3 linked regions of the Mus musculus genome follow. The protein of the gene in region 2 binds, or shares a complex with, the protein of the main gene of each other region. Links are inferred from orthologs where the notes say so. Each region holds a gene or a part of one and is shown on either strand. Other genes may lie near its edges. The genes, in order: Ccdc8, Obsl1 and Myom1.

What was found.
Region 1: Obsl1 (region 2) and Ccdc8 share a complex: the UniProt entries of both Homo sapiens proteins name them as parts of the 3M complex. The link is inferred for Mus musculus from reciprocal best matches to the Homo sapiens genes OBSL1 and CCDC8.
Region 3: the proteins of Obsl1 (region 2) and Myom1 are in contact, whole or in part, in a crystal structure (PDB 5FM5), measured with the Homo sapiens proteins. The link is inferred for Mus musculus from reciprocal best matches to the Homo sapiens genes OBSL1 and MYOM1. Residues at the interface, in NP_056126.1 of Homo sapiens: Pro243, Lys253, Phe255, Val257, Asn258, Gly260, Lys261, His262, Ala263, Lys264, Phe265, Arg266, Cys267, Tyr268, Val269, Met270, Gly271, Lys272, Pro273, Pro275, Trp279, Lys305, Tyr308, Tyr317, Cys319, Ala321, Arg322, Asn323, Ser324, Ala325; in NP_003794.3 of Homo sapiens: Arg616, Pro617, Ser618, Ala619, Pro620, Trp621, Thr622, Gly623, Gln624, Ile625, Ile626, Val627, Thr628, Glu629, Glu630, Glu631, Pro632.

Annotation. Positions count from the first base shown.
Region 1 is NC_000073.6:16,992,557-16,996,301, reverse strand, and holds the start of Ccdc8 (coiled-coil domain-containing protein 8 homolog), read right to left. Parts: upstream 2,401-3,745; 5' UTR 1,715-2,400; coding exon 1-1,714. UniProt on the Homo sapiens protein: Core component of the 3M complex, a complex required to regulate microtubule dynamics and genome integrity. It is unclear how the 3M complex regulates microtubules, it could act by controlling the level of a microtubule stabilizer.
Region 2 is NC_000067.6:75,489,449-75,493,093, reverse strand, and holds part of Obsl1 (obscurin-like protein 1), read left to right. Parts: coding exon 1-224; intron 225-300; coding exon 301-588; intron 589-751; coding exon of another isoform or gene 752-1,027; intron 1,028-1,636; coding exon 1,637-1,906; intron 1,907-2,025; coding exon 2,026-2,298; intron 2,299-3,344; coding exon 3,345-3,611; intron 3,612-3,645. UniProt on the Homo sapiens protein: Core component of the 3M complex, a complex required to regulate microtubule dynamics and genome integrity. It is unclear how the 3M complex regulates microtubules, it could act by controlling the level of a microtubule stabilizer.
Region 3 is NC_000083.6:71,018,333-71,022,077, reverse strand, and holds the start of Myom1 (myomesin-1), read right to left. Parts: upstream 2,522-3,745; 5' UTR 2,427-2,521; intron 1-2,426. UniProt on the Homo sapiens protein: Major component of the vertebrate myofibrillar M band. Binds myosin, titin, and light meromyosin. This binding is dose dependent.

The sequences.
Region 1 (3,745 bases), on a different chromosome or scaffold from region 2:
CTGGGCCCTCTGCCCTCTGACTATCTATGGCTTCTGCCCTCTGGTCAGGTGGGACTCCTGCCCTGAGATAAGCTGCAGCCTCTACCCTCAGATTAGCTTCAGCCTCTGCCTTTGGACTAGCTGCAGCCTCTGCCCTTGGACTAGCTTCAGCCTCTGCCCTTGGACTAGCTGCAGCCTCTGCCCTTGGACTAGCTGCAACCTCTGCTCTTGGATCAGCTGCAGCCTCTGCCCTTGGACTAGCTGCAGCCTCTGCTCTTGGATCAGCTGCAGTCTCTGCCCTTGGACTATCTACAAGCTCTGCCTTCTGGTTAGCAGCAGCCTCTGCTATTGGACTAGCTGCAGCCTCTACTCTTGGATCAGCTACAGCCTCTGCCCTTGGACTAGCTGCAGCCTCTGCTCTTGGATCAGCTGCAGTCTCTGCCCTTGGACTATCTACAAGCTCTGCCTTCTGGTTAGCAGCAGCCTCTGCTATTGGACTAGCTGCAGCCTCTGCTCTTGGATCAGCTGCAGCCTCTGCCCTTGGACTAGCTGCAGCCTCTGCCCTGGGACTAGCAACAGCCTCTGCCCTGAGACTAGCTGCAGCCTCAGTCCTTGGACTAGCTGCAGCCTCTGCCCTTGGACTAGCTGCAGCCTCTGCTCTTGGATCAGCTACAGCCTCTGCCCTTGGACTAGCTGCAGCCTCTGCTCTTGGACTAGCAACAGCCTCTACTCTTGGATCAGCTGCAGTCTCTGCCCTTGGACTAGCTGCAGCCTCTGCCCTTGGACTAGCTAGAGGCTCTGCCCTCTGGTTAGCTGCAGCCTCTGCCCCCTGGTTCTCTGCAGCCTCTGGGTGCTCCTCAGCTGGCATGCCTGTTCCCTGAGCGAAGGGTGGCACCTGCTCCTTCCTGCATCGTCTCAGGGAAACCCACTTGATCTTGGGCTTCCAGCGTCTAGTACCCAGCATCTGGTCACTCCGGTCTCCTGTGTTTCTGGAGCTATCATCGTCCGAGCTGGCTTGGCTGTGTCTCATTTCTCCAGCCCTCTCAGCTGCTGTGGAGGCCTGCTGGGTCTGGCCCACCTCGGAGCCTGATCTGGGTGCCCAGCCCTTCACCCTCTGTTTCAGCTTCCCCCAGGACACCTGGCTAACATACTCCCTCCATCTGTCGGCCTTGGATGGCTGGGGCCCCAGGTTGTTCTCAAACATGGGCACTGGAAGATTGACTCGGCGTCGTGGAGGAGGCGCGCTGGGCTTCTCCCCACGGCGGAGGAAGGCCTCCACCAGCTCCTGATCATCCTCACTCTCCACATCGCTGCCCAGGAATTTGCTGCCCAAGTAACTGACCGGCATTTTGCGCACCTTCCTGGTCCTCCCGGAGGAGCTCCTGTTGCCTTTGACTTTGGAGGTATCGAAGTCACTCAACTCACTGTCGCTGCCATTGCTGCTGTCATAGGTACCTACAACCAGCCGAAGTGGAGGAGTGACCATCTGCGGGACTCTCCTCACTCTCAGCTCCTTGGTTCTTTTGCGGGGTTGGGGTGGGTGTGGAGTGCTCTTTTCGATGATACGGGCCACATCTTCCAGGGTGCGGCCCTCCTCCTGCAAAAACTGGATTAGCCGCTCCCGAAACTCAGCTTCCTTCGTTGCAGGCTTGGAGATGACTCTCCACACGCCCCCAGCCAGGCGGACCTCCCGGGGGATGAGCAGATAGTCAACATCCTCCCCAATCTGCAGCATCCCCACCGTGGAGTCCTCTTCTTTGCGGAACACCTTTCCGATTTTCTTAAAGGTGCCCACAGGCCTTAAGGCCTCCACTAACACGTCCAGATCGACATCTTTGCAGACGTCGGGGACACTCCAGAGGATCAGGCAATCGGGAGACGGAAGGAAGCCCCAGGGGAACCATCCCCCTACGTGGCTTTTTTCGAGAGTCTTTAAGATCTCCAGCGTGGACGCTCGAGTGGGGGCAAAAAGCCCAGACACTTGGCTGCTAGTCTTGGGGAGGGGGCGGTGGACAGTCCTAGCAACTCTGCTCGCACAGAGTGTCTCCTCCCTACAATTTTCTCTTCAGGAAACAAGTCCAAGTTGGCTTCCCCAACCCCCTCGGAGTTGTAGCAAGCAGTTTTCCAGGATGCTTACATGAACTGAAGCACGCTCATTCCCGAGGCTCAAAGTTCAGTCCAAACTGGAATCGCCAGTGTCCCGGCTCCAAGTTGGGGTCCCACGAGCTCCGATCGCTTCTCCCTTGCCCCAGACACCAGGATATAGCTGAAAGTTCTTGGGAGGACTCTGCAGACAAAGACGGCTCAGCGTGGCCTTTCAATATGGCGAGGTGCTTAAAGGCCTCCGCCCAGCCCCGAGGAGGGTCTCCCGCCCCCAGGCAGTCTGCCACCCGCTCCAAACTGACCTTGCGCTCAGTCTGTGGTGGAGCTGAGAGCCGCAGGAAGTTTCTGGGCGCCCTCCCCTCCTGGGTGAGGCCCACCTTCTCCTTCTCATCTTACACTCTAAGCCTGGGAAGACTGGCAGCGGGGCTGTCCACTCCCCTTCAGGGCAGCCTCCCTCTCCTCCCCCACAGAGGTGTGGCTGCCCCCCAGAGCCTCAATGGGGCCAGGGCTTCCCTTAGCTGCAGCCAAAACCCACGTCATCATCCTTCCCAAAAGGCAACGGGTCCCCCAACCTGCCATCCTAGACGTGCAAGCCCAAAAGGTGCGAGTGCTGATGGCTCAAATCCTTTGAAGGCTATTGCAATTATGAACGTGCGTTTAAAATTAAGGGGATGGGACTAGAGGTGGCTCAATGGTTAGGAGCATGGGCTACCTTTATGTAAGACCTGGGTTTGACTCCCAGAACCAATACGATGGCTCAAAACCCTGTTTATTTCCAGTTCCAGGGGATCCAATACCCTCTTCTGATCTCTGTGAGCACTGCATATACGTGGTACACACACACACACACACACACACACACACACACACACACACACACACACAGAGAGAGAGAGAGAGAAGACATTCATGCACACAAAAAGGGGCACACAAGATAACCCAATGGGTAAAAACATTTCCCCAAAGCCTGAATTCAATCCCAGAACCCACATAAAACCAATTCTACAAAGTTATTGTTCAATCTCCACATGTGCACCCCTATACACAGATTGTACATATATTAATTCACACACGATAAACACGGGTTTTGTTTGTTTGTTTGTTTGTTTGTTTGTTTTTCGAGACAGGGTTTCTCTGTGTAGCCTTGGCTGTCCTAGAACTCACTTTGTAGACCAGGCTGGCCTCGAACTCAGAGATCCACCTGCCTCTGCCTCCCAAGTGCTGGGATTAAAGGCGTGCGCCACCATGCCCAGCCCGATAAACACGTTTTTAAAGTAAAATATTTTCTTGGAGTTGGAGAAATGGCTCCATGGTTAAAAGCACAGGCTGCTCTTTCAGAGGACCTGGGTTCAATTCCCAGCACCCACATAATGCTCATAAATGTCTGTAACCCCACCTCTAGGGGATTTAACACCCCCCCCCCACTGATATACATCAAAACACCAAAGCACATAAAATAAATATATTTTTTAAATAAAAAATTTTCTTAAAAATAAAAAAACCTTTAAGATCACAGAGATGTTGTACCCTCAGTTCTTAGTTTATGTATCCCACGTGGCCTCAAACTTTCAGGGATCCTCCTGCCTCAGCCTCTGTCTACTAGGCTTTACGTAGGCCACTATTATCAGGCTTAAGCAACAACAACAACGGCCAGGTAAGGAAG
Region 2 (3,645 bases):
TGGGGCTCCAGGACACGTGGAGCTACGCTGCGAAGTGGCCCCGGCTGGGTCTCAGGTGCGCTGGTACAAGGATGGCCTAGAGGTAGAGGTGTCAGATGCGCTGCAGCTGGGTGCTGAGGGGCCTGCCCGCACTCTCACCCTGCCCCACGCCCAGCCTGAGGATGCCGGGGAGTATGTATGTGAGACCCGAGATGAGGCTGTCACCTTCAACGTCAGCCTGGCTGGTGGGTGTGCCGGTCCAGCCTTGGGTGGGGAGGCAGGGGCTGGCTTGGGCTTACAACTCCCTTTTTCTTTGTGCAGAGCTTCCGGTGCAGTTTCTGGCTCCAGAGGCAGCCCCAAATCCGCTCTGCGTGGTTCCTGGGGAGCCCGTGGTGCTGAGCTGTGAGCTGTCCCGAGCAAGCGCACAAGTGTTCTGGAGCCACAATGGGAGCCCGGTGCAGCAGGGTGAAGGACTAGAGCTGCGAGCTGAGGGTCCTCGCAGAATCCTCTGCATCCAGGCAGCAGACCTCGCTCACACAGGTGTCTACACTTGCCAATCTGGGGCATCCCCAGGGGCCCCAAGCCTCAGCTTCAATGTCCAGGTGGCTGGTGAGTACAACCTGGGCAGAAAGCCTTACTAGTCCCCCCTCCCCCCCATCCAGGGCTCCCCCACTTTCCTAAGACATAACATCTTTCCCTTGCCCTGTTCCCCCAGCTTGTCTCCCCACCCTTCTCACTGCCCTCCCAGTGACCCCTAGCTCTGACCCCACAGAGCCCCCAGTGCGGGTAGTGGCCCCCGAGGCAGCCCAGACGAGTGTTCGAAGCACCCCAGGTGGGGACCTAGAGCTGGTGGTGCACCTCTCCAGGCCAGGGACCCCTGTGCGCTGGTACAAGGACGGGGAGCGCCTGGCAAGCCAGGGGCGGGTACAGCTGGAACAAGCCGGGGCGAGGCAGGTGCTGCGGGTGCGGGGGGCACGGAGAGGGGATGCTGGGGAATACCTGTGCGACGCACCCCAGGACAGTCGCATCTTCATCGTCAGTGTGGAAGGTAACCATGCACCCCTCATACCCACAAAGACAACCTCCCATCCTCTGGACCCTTTTCATCTCCTATACCTCACCCAACTGCTCTCTATGGTTCCCACCAATGCGTTCATGACTGTCACTGTAAGAGGGCATCTTCCTTTTTTCCAGCACCCTAGCATAGCAGGATGTATAGCCCAGTGGATTAAAAGGAGGACTCTAGAGTCAACTTGTCCAGGGTGTAACTCAGACTTGGCTCTCTGGGACTTGGGTGACATTTGCGAGGCCATTTTATTCCCCTGAGCCCCAGCACTGAAATGGGATGGCAGATAGGTTGCTATGACCATTAAATGTTGTAACTGGGCCCATAGTAAATAATGTATTGGTACTAGAGACTTGGGAAGAGGTGCCAGGCTGGGATTTCAAGGAGCTTACTAAGTGTGGCCAGGATTTGGCATCCTGGTCTTTGGGAGAACCCCCACAACCAACACACAATAGGGCCTCACTCAAGCTGTTGTAATTGGTGGGAGAATGAGAGCTTGCATCCTGTAGGGGGATCAGGGTGGGGGTTGGTAGTGGAGAGAGACAGAGGGAGAAAGAGGTATCCAGGTCACTGCCTCACCCCTCCTTCCAGAGCTCCCGCCAGTGAAGCTGGTCTCTGAACTGACGCCTCTGACAGTCCATGAGGGGGACGATGCCACATTCCAGTGTGAGGTTTCACCACCAGATGCCGAAGTCACCTGGCTACGCAACGGAGCGGTTATCACTGCAGGGCCACAGTTGGAAATGGTCCAGAATGGTTCAAGCCGCACCTTGATCATCCGAGGCTGCCAACTCAAAGACGCAGGGACCGTGACCGCGCGAGCCGGAGCTGCTGACACAAGTGCCAGGCTCCACGTTCGAGGTTCAGTGTGACTGAGCATAAAATGCTCTGTTCCCTGTAGCTAACCCCTCACAACCATGGCCTAGAAGTGAGCTAGCCTTCAACCTCTGGGCTCCATGATCTCTCATCTTCCCTTCCAGAGACAGAGCTGCTGTTCTTGCGGCGGCTGCAGGATGTGCGGGCCGAGGAAGGCCAGGATGTGCACCTTGAGGTAGAGACAGGCCGAGTTGGTGCAGCTGGAACTGTTCGCTGGATACGAGGTGGGGAACCTCTTCCCCTGGACTCTCGCCTGACCACGGCTCAGGATGGCCATGTCCACCGCCTCTCTATCCATGGCGTTCTACTTACCGACCAGGGCACCTACGGCTGTGAGAGCCGCCACGATCGCACCCTGGCCAGGCTCAGTGTGAGGCGTGAGTGCCCAATCTTCTCCTACTTCATCACTCACCTGGCTGGCCCAGAGTCCCTGACACTGCCACCACCACCAAAGTGCTCCTTTCTGCTGAGGAAGGTCTGCCTTGGCTGTCCCAATCTGGGGTTAGAGCCAGAAGGCTCCTGCTCAAACCAAAATCCTCTTTTTCTAATGTTTTCTAGTCCCTCAGAAGTCCAAATGGACTCTGCTTTTTACTTCAAAGATGGCTTTGCTAGCAGCATAAATTTTATACTCCAGAAAAACTCTCTGTATTTATTTTTTGAAAGAATGACTGGCTAATAGCATTTCTCACCCACTGCCCCATGCTGGAACACACTACCTGTGTGACCTCATGCAATCTCTCTGAAACAAATCTCCATAAAAATAGGGTTGATCCCTACGTCCAGAGTCTTTGAGGAAATTAGCCAAGGTATCAGACCTTGGTGATTGGCTGTCACGAGTGGTATGTGTTCATCACAGTATAACCCAGAGTGGCACTGGGCTTTAGCATGGTGGTTCTCAACCTGTGGGTCAAGACCCCTTTGCTAATCAAACAACAGGGGTCCCCTATCAGATACCCCGCCTATCGGGTATTTACATTACAATTTATGACCGTAGCAGGATCGCAGTTATGAAGTAGCAATGAAAATAATTTCATGGCTGGGGGTCACCACCAATGAGGTACTATATGAGATGGTTGCTTCATTAGGAAGGTTGAGAACCACTGGTTTAGTGCAATAGGGAAAACTAGGGCTTAGAAAAAAAAAGTCAGAGGAGTTTGCCAAAGATCCCTTGGTACACAGACGAGTTATATGTTAAGTAAAGGCTCTGATCCCAGTGGGCCTATTGTTCCTTCCAGTGTCACCCCACCCCACACTGAGACTCCTCAACCCGTCCTTCTCCCTCCCTCCTTCCCACCCAGTCTGAAGTTGTATAGCCAAGGCCTTTCATGGAGTGCTGGGGTGGCACGTGGAGCATGCTGGAGTGAGTGAGCCCCTGCACCCTGCCCAGAGCTGGTGTCCTCCCTCTCTCATCTCCCCACACTAGCTCGGCAGCTGAGGGAACTTCGGCCTCTGGAGGATGTGACCGTCCATGAGGGGGGCAGTGCCACCTTCCAGCTGGAGCTGTCCCAGGAGGGTGTGACCGGAGAGTGGGCCCAGGGTGGAGTCCGGCTGCACCCAGGGCCCAAGTGCCACATTCAATCAGAAGGCCGCACTCACCGCTTGGTGCTAAGCGGCCTGGGTCTGGCTGACTCGGGCTGTGTCTCCTTCACTGCGGACACCCTTCGGTGTGCTGCTCGGCTCACAGTGAGAGGTGTGGCCTCTGGGCCTCTGCCTGCTAAATCCCT
Region 3 (3,745 bases), on a different chromosome or scaffold from region 2:
CAGGTCACTTCCCTAGTCCTGGTGAATGATAACAATGGCAGCATTAGGAGCGGCGTAAGAAGCGCTCAGACTCTGTGCACAGTCTGAAGAGACAGCCAACGGTATTCACCGGATGGTCCGACTGGAGCATGAAGGAAAGGTTTTTTGCCTGGCTAGCTAGAAGACTGAGGCTGCCATTATCCGAGATGAGGAAGAGAAGAAAATATCATCTAAGGATGGGAAGAAAAAAACTCAAAACCAGCCTGAGATATTCTCCATCTGAGGAACCTGCTACACTATCCAGCTGAGGTTTTAAGTAGGAAGTCGGATGTGTGACTTTAAAGTTCAAGGTACGGGATGGATATCTGGATCTTGGAGGCAACTGCACATAGGTGAAGCTGGAAAGCAGAAAGCTCTCTGGGCGGTGGTGCACACCTTCAATCCCAGTGCTCTGGAGGCAGAGAGAGACAGGTGGGTCTCTGTGAATTTGAGGCCAGCCTGGTTTGTGCAAGCCTCAGATCAGCTAAGACCTCACGGTGCCACCCTTTCCCAGGCGGCAGGAGACGGATGTGAGTGACTGCGCACAGAAAAGCTGAACCTCACGGTCTGATAACTTCTATAATTGGGAGTTCTTTCAAATTGTGCACACATTACAAAAAGGCAGAACAGTATTTATTCCATATAGAAATATGGGAGAATCCATATAGGAATATAAAGAATCTGAGCTCGGTGTGGCTCTGGCATTTCATATCTATCTATCAGGTAATTGATTTTGTGCGTCTAGGGGGTGCATGTGTGTCACAGCATGTACACGGAGCACAGAGGACAACTTCTCAGCACCCGTTCTCTCCTTCCGTGAGGGCTCAGGGGACAGAATTCAGGCCACCAGGCTTAGCAGGAAGTGCCTTTGCTTACGGAGGCCTTGCATTTACTTCATGTGTAAATCATGTGTTCACCGAAAGACTACCAGCCACATGGCAAACTGGAGCAAGTCATAATTTTATAGACACCTCTCCTAGGTTTTTTAAAAAAACCTCCCATGTATAATATTATTATTTTCAAAACTATATAACAAAATTGTTTTCAAGCAAAGGTTTTTCTTTTCCTAACCTTGTTTTGCTTAAAATTCCTAACTGAGGAGTAAATCCTTTTAAATTTTTGTCATATTTAAAACTAAGTTTTATTTAAGCTGCTTAAAAAGTCAGTGTGTTCTCTTTAGAGAAGAAAAGCCAACAAACTTCACTCCTGAAATATGTATCTGAAGTCTCATGGGAAATACCAGTCTACATGACATTTTCTAAGAGAGAGAAAAAAAAAATAGCTACCAGCAAGCAACTGTGCTTCCTTAAATCCTTAAATAGATTGCCTTTTCTGTTACTAAATATGCAGAACTATACTTAATGGATAACTTTTGGGTGGCGTTTATAGTATAAAAGGGTTAGAATACACTGTATTATGAAGTGTTAGGTAAGTCTCTGTAATGATGTCATCAAAGTGACTTACAAATAATAAAAGCTCCTTTGCTGTGTTATATTATAAACTAACATTGCTACCCAGATGGTTCAAAATGCTATCATTCTCACAAAACAGATGGTTTAAGTGTCTTGTCCCAACTCCATTTTCCATTCTTCATTATCTGTCCCAAGAATACTTACGTGATTAACATCTACTACTTAGTACATTGGTTAAGCCACCAGTGCTGAACCAAAGTATAGCAGTGACCAAAGTATAACCAGCCAGTGAGCCAGGCTTAGCCCAACACACAACTGCCAGGATTTGTTAGAAATAAAGACTTTTTTATTTTTTTGTCTTCTGTGCTTCTGAAAACTAACTTTTATTTCTAAAAATAATCTCGACGGTTAAGAAGAAATACTACCTCCAAAATTGTAACCGTGCTGTAATATTCTGATGCGGGCAGCAGAGGCCAAAAGCTGATGGAAATTAATTACAGAAGGCAATCGCTCCAGGGTCACGGTGCCAGGTCTGCCACCTCTGTGTTACCCAGTCATTTTCAAGTCAGAAATATCACAATGCTCCTGAGAGAGAGGTCGTCCACACTGCTCTCTCATGGCAGAGTTCATCCTCTCGCTTCTTCCCTCCCCCATCCCTCTCTTCCCTTGGAGCTATGTCACCGGATCATGAATTAGTGGCTCTGAAGAGAATTTGTATCCTTCTAGCTTAATTTGCACTCAAGGAGCTCTGTAAATACTTCACTGCTCCTTTCCCTGAGAAAATACTTGCATTGGATATGAGACAAATGTGAGCTTGCAGTTCCAGAAACAGAGGCATATTCTTGTTTTCAAAAGAATACGGCAAAAACAGCCACCAGCCCAGGCAGGTACCTTACTGCTCCCGTCTCCCCTTCCAGGAGCTCCTGTCACTCCCCTGCTGAGGCGAGAAGGCAGACTGAAACTCCTGAGTACATTTGCCACCTCCATGTCACTTACCGGTTTCTGGGGTGGGGGTTACGGCCCACTGCCCTGCCGCAGTCGAGGAGCAGGAGAGAATGAGGGCCCACCTAGGTTGAATCCAAGAAAAAGTTAAGAGGCAGGGCTAGAGGCTGGATTCTGGGGGCCAGTTCAAAAATAATGCATGTGGTCAGGCAGCAGAATGTCAGGGCCCCACAGCCAGCCTTTTATGGCCAGGAAGGCAGATAAATATAGCAGCACATGGGGAGGGGAGTCCCAAACCCAGAGAAGAGCATGGCAGGAAGCTGCAGGAGCAGTAGGATTAGGTTAATGGCTCAATGAGTACGGCCTGATTAAACCAAATGGAGGACCGACTTAAATAGAGGATTCTACGGACTGTGTCCGATATATCTTTACTGCTTTGTATTTAAACATACAGGGCTTGTGTTCAGAGCTAAAAACAGGTGTAGGAATCCGATCCTCAAAATGGACCTCATGGAATCTTAACGCCAAGACGCGGCTTTGTGTGCGCTGTTTGTGACACATGGAGCACAGCGTTGAAAGACAACATGGGAGAGAAAGCTGGGGCTAACTAAAGGTTAGTGCGGAGGCTTTGGGACACTCGCTGTCCCTCTCTGTTTAGGAAAAGTGAATCTTAGCATCAGGTGCAATTGTCCAATTCCTCATTCATTAGAAAAAGGAAAAGAAAAATTAGGAAAAGGAATTCGTTATCTTATCCTTCCACACTCAAGAGCAGGCTCAGCCTAACTACCTGATTCTTTGCTTCCAACCAATGGTGTAATGAAGAAGTGGCCCAGCCTGACACATGGGCTCCATCCCAAAATCCTCGTGAAAAGAACCTGCAGCAGTGGTGCACATCTGTAATTCCAGAACTCCATAGAAACGGTAATTCCATGAGTCCTACAGCAAGATGACAGACAGAGGCAGGAGGATCTCAGCTAAGCTGGTGGCTCTTTCTCTCTCTCCCTCTGTCCCTCCGTCCCTCCATCCCTCCCTCCGTCCTTTCCTCCCTCCCTCCCTCCCTCCCTCTTTTATAAACACACACAGTAAACACACTAACAATAAACAGAAAGTAATCCATTATAATCTATAAACTTCAGAAACTATTTGCTTCAAGAATTCTACTTAGACCCCCTTGCAATAGACAAAAAGACACCTTGGTGGTGGTATTCGGTCAGGGCCAGAGCAGATGGCAGTCCTTTGTTCATTCTAGCTTGATACCTGGCTTGGTGGCCAGAGCTGTTGTATGCCTAGGACTCAAAAAATCAAGTCAACTCAAATGCAGGCAGCACAGCGCAGGAGAAAGAAGACAGATAGACCCACCCTCCAGCACATGG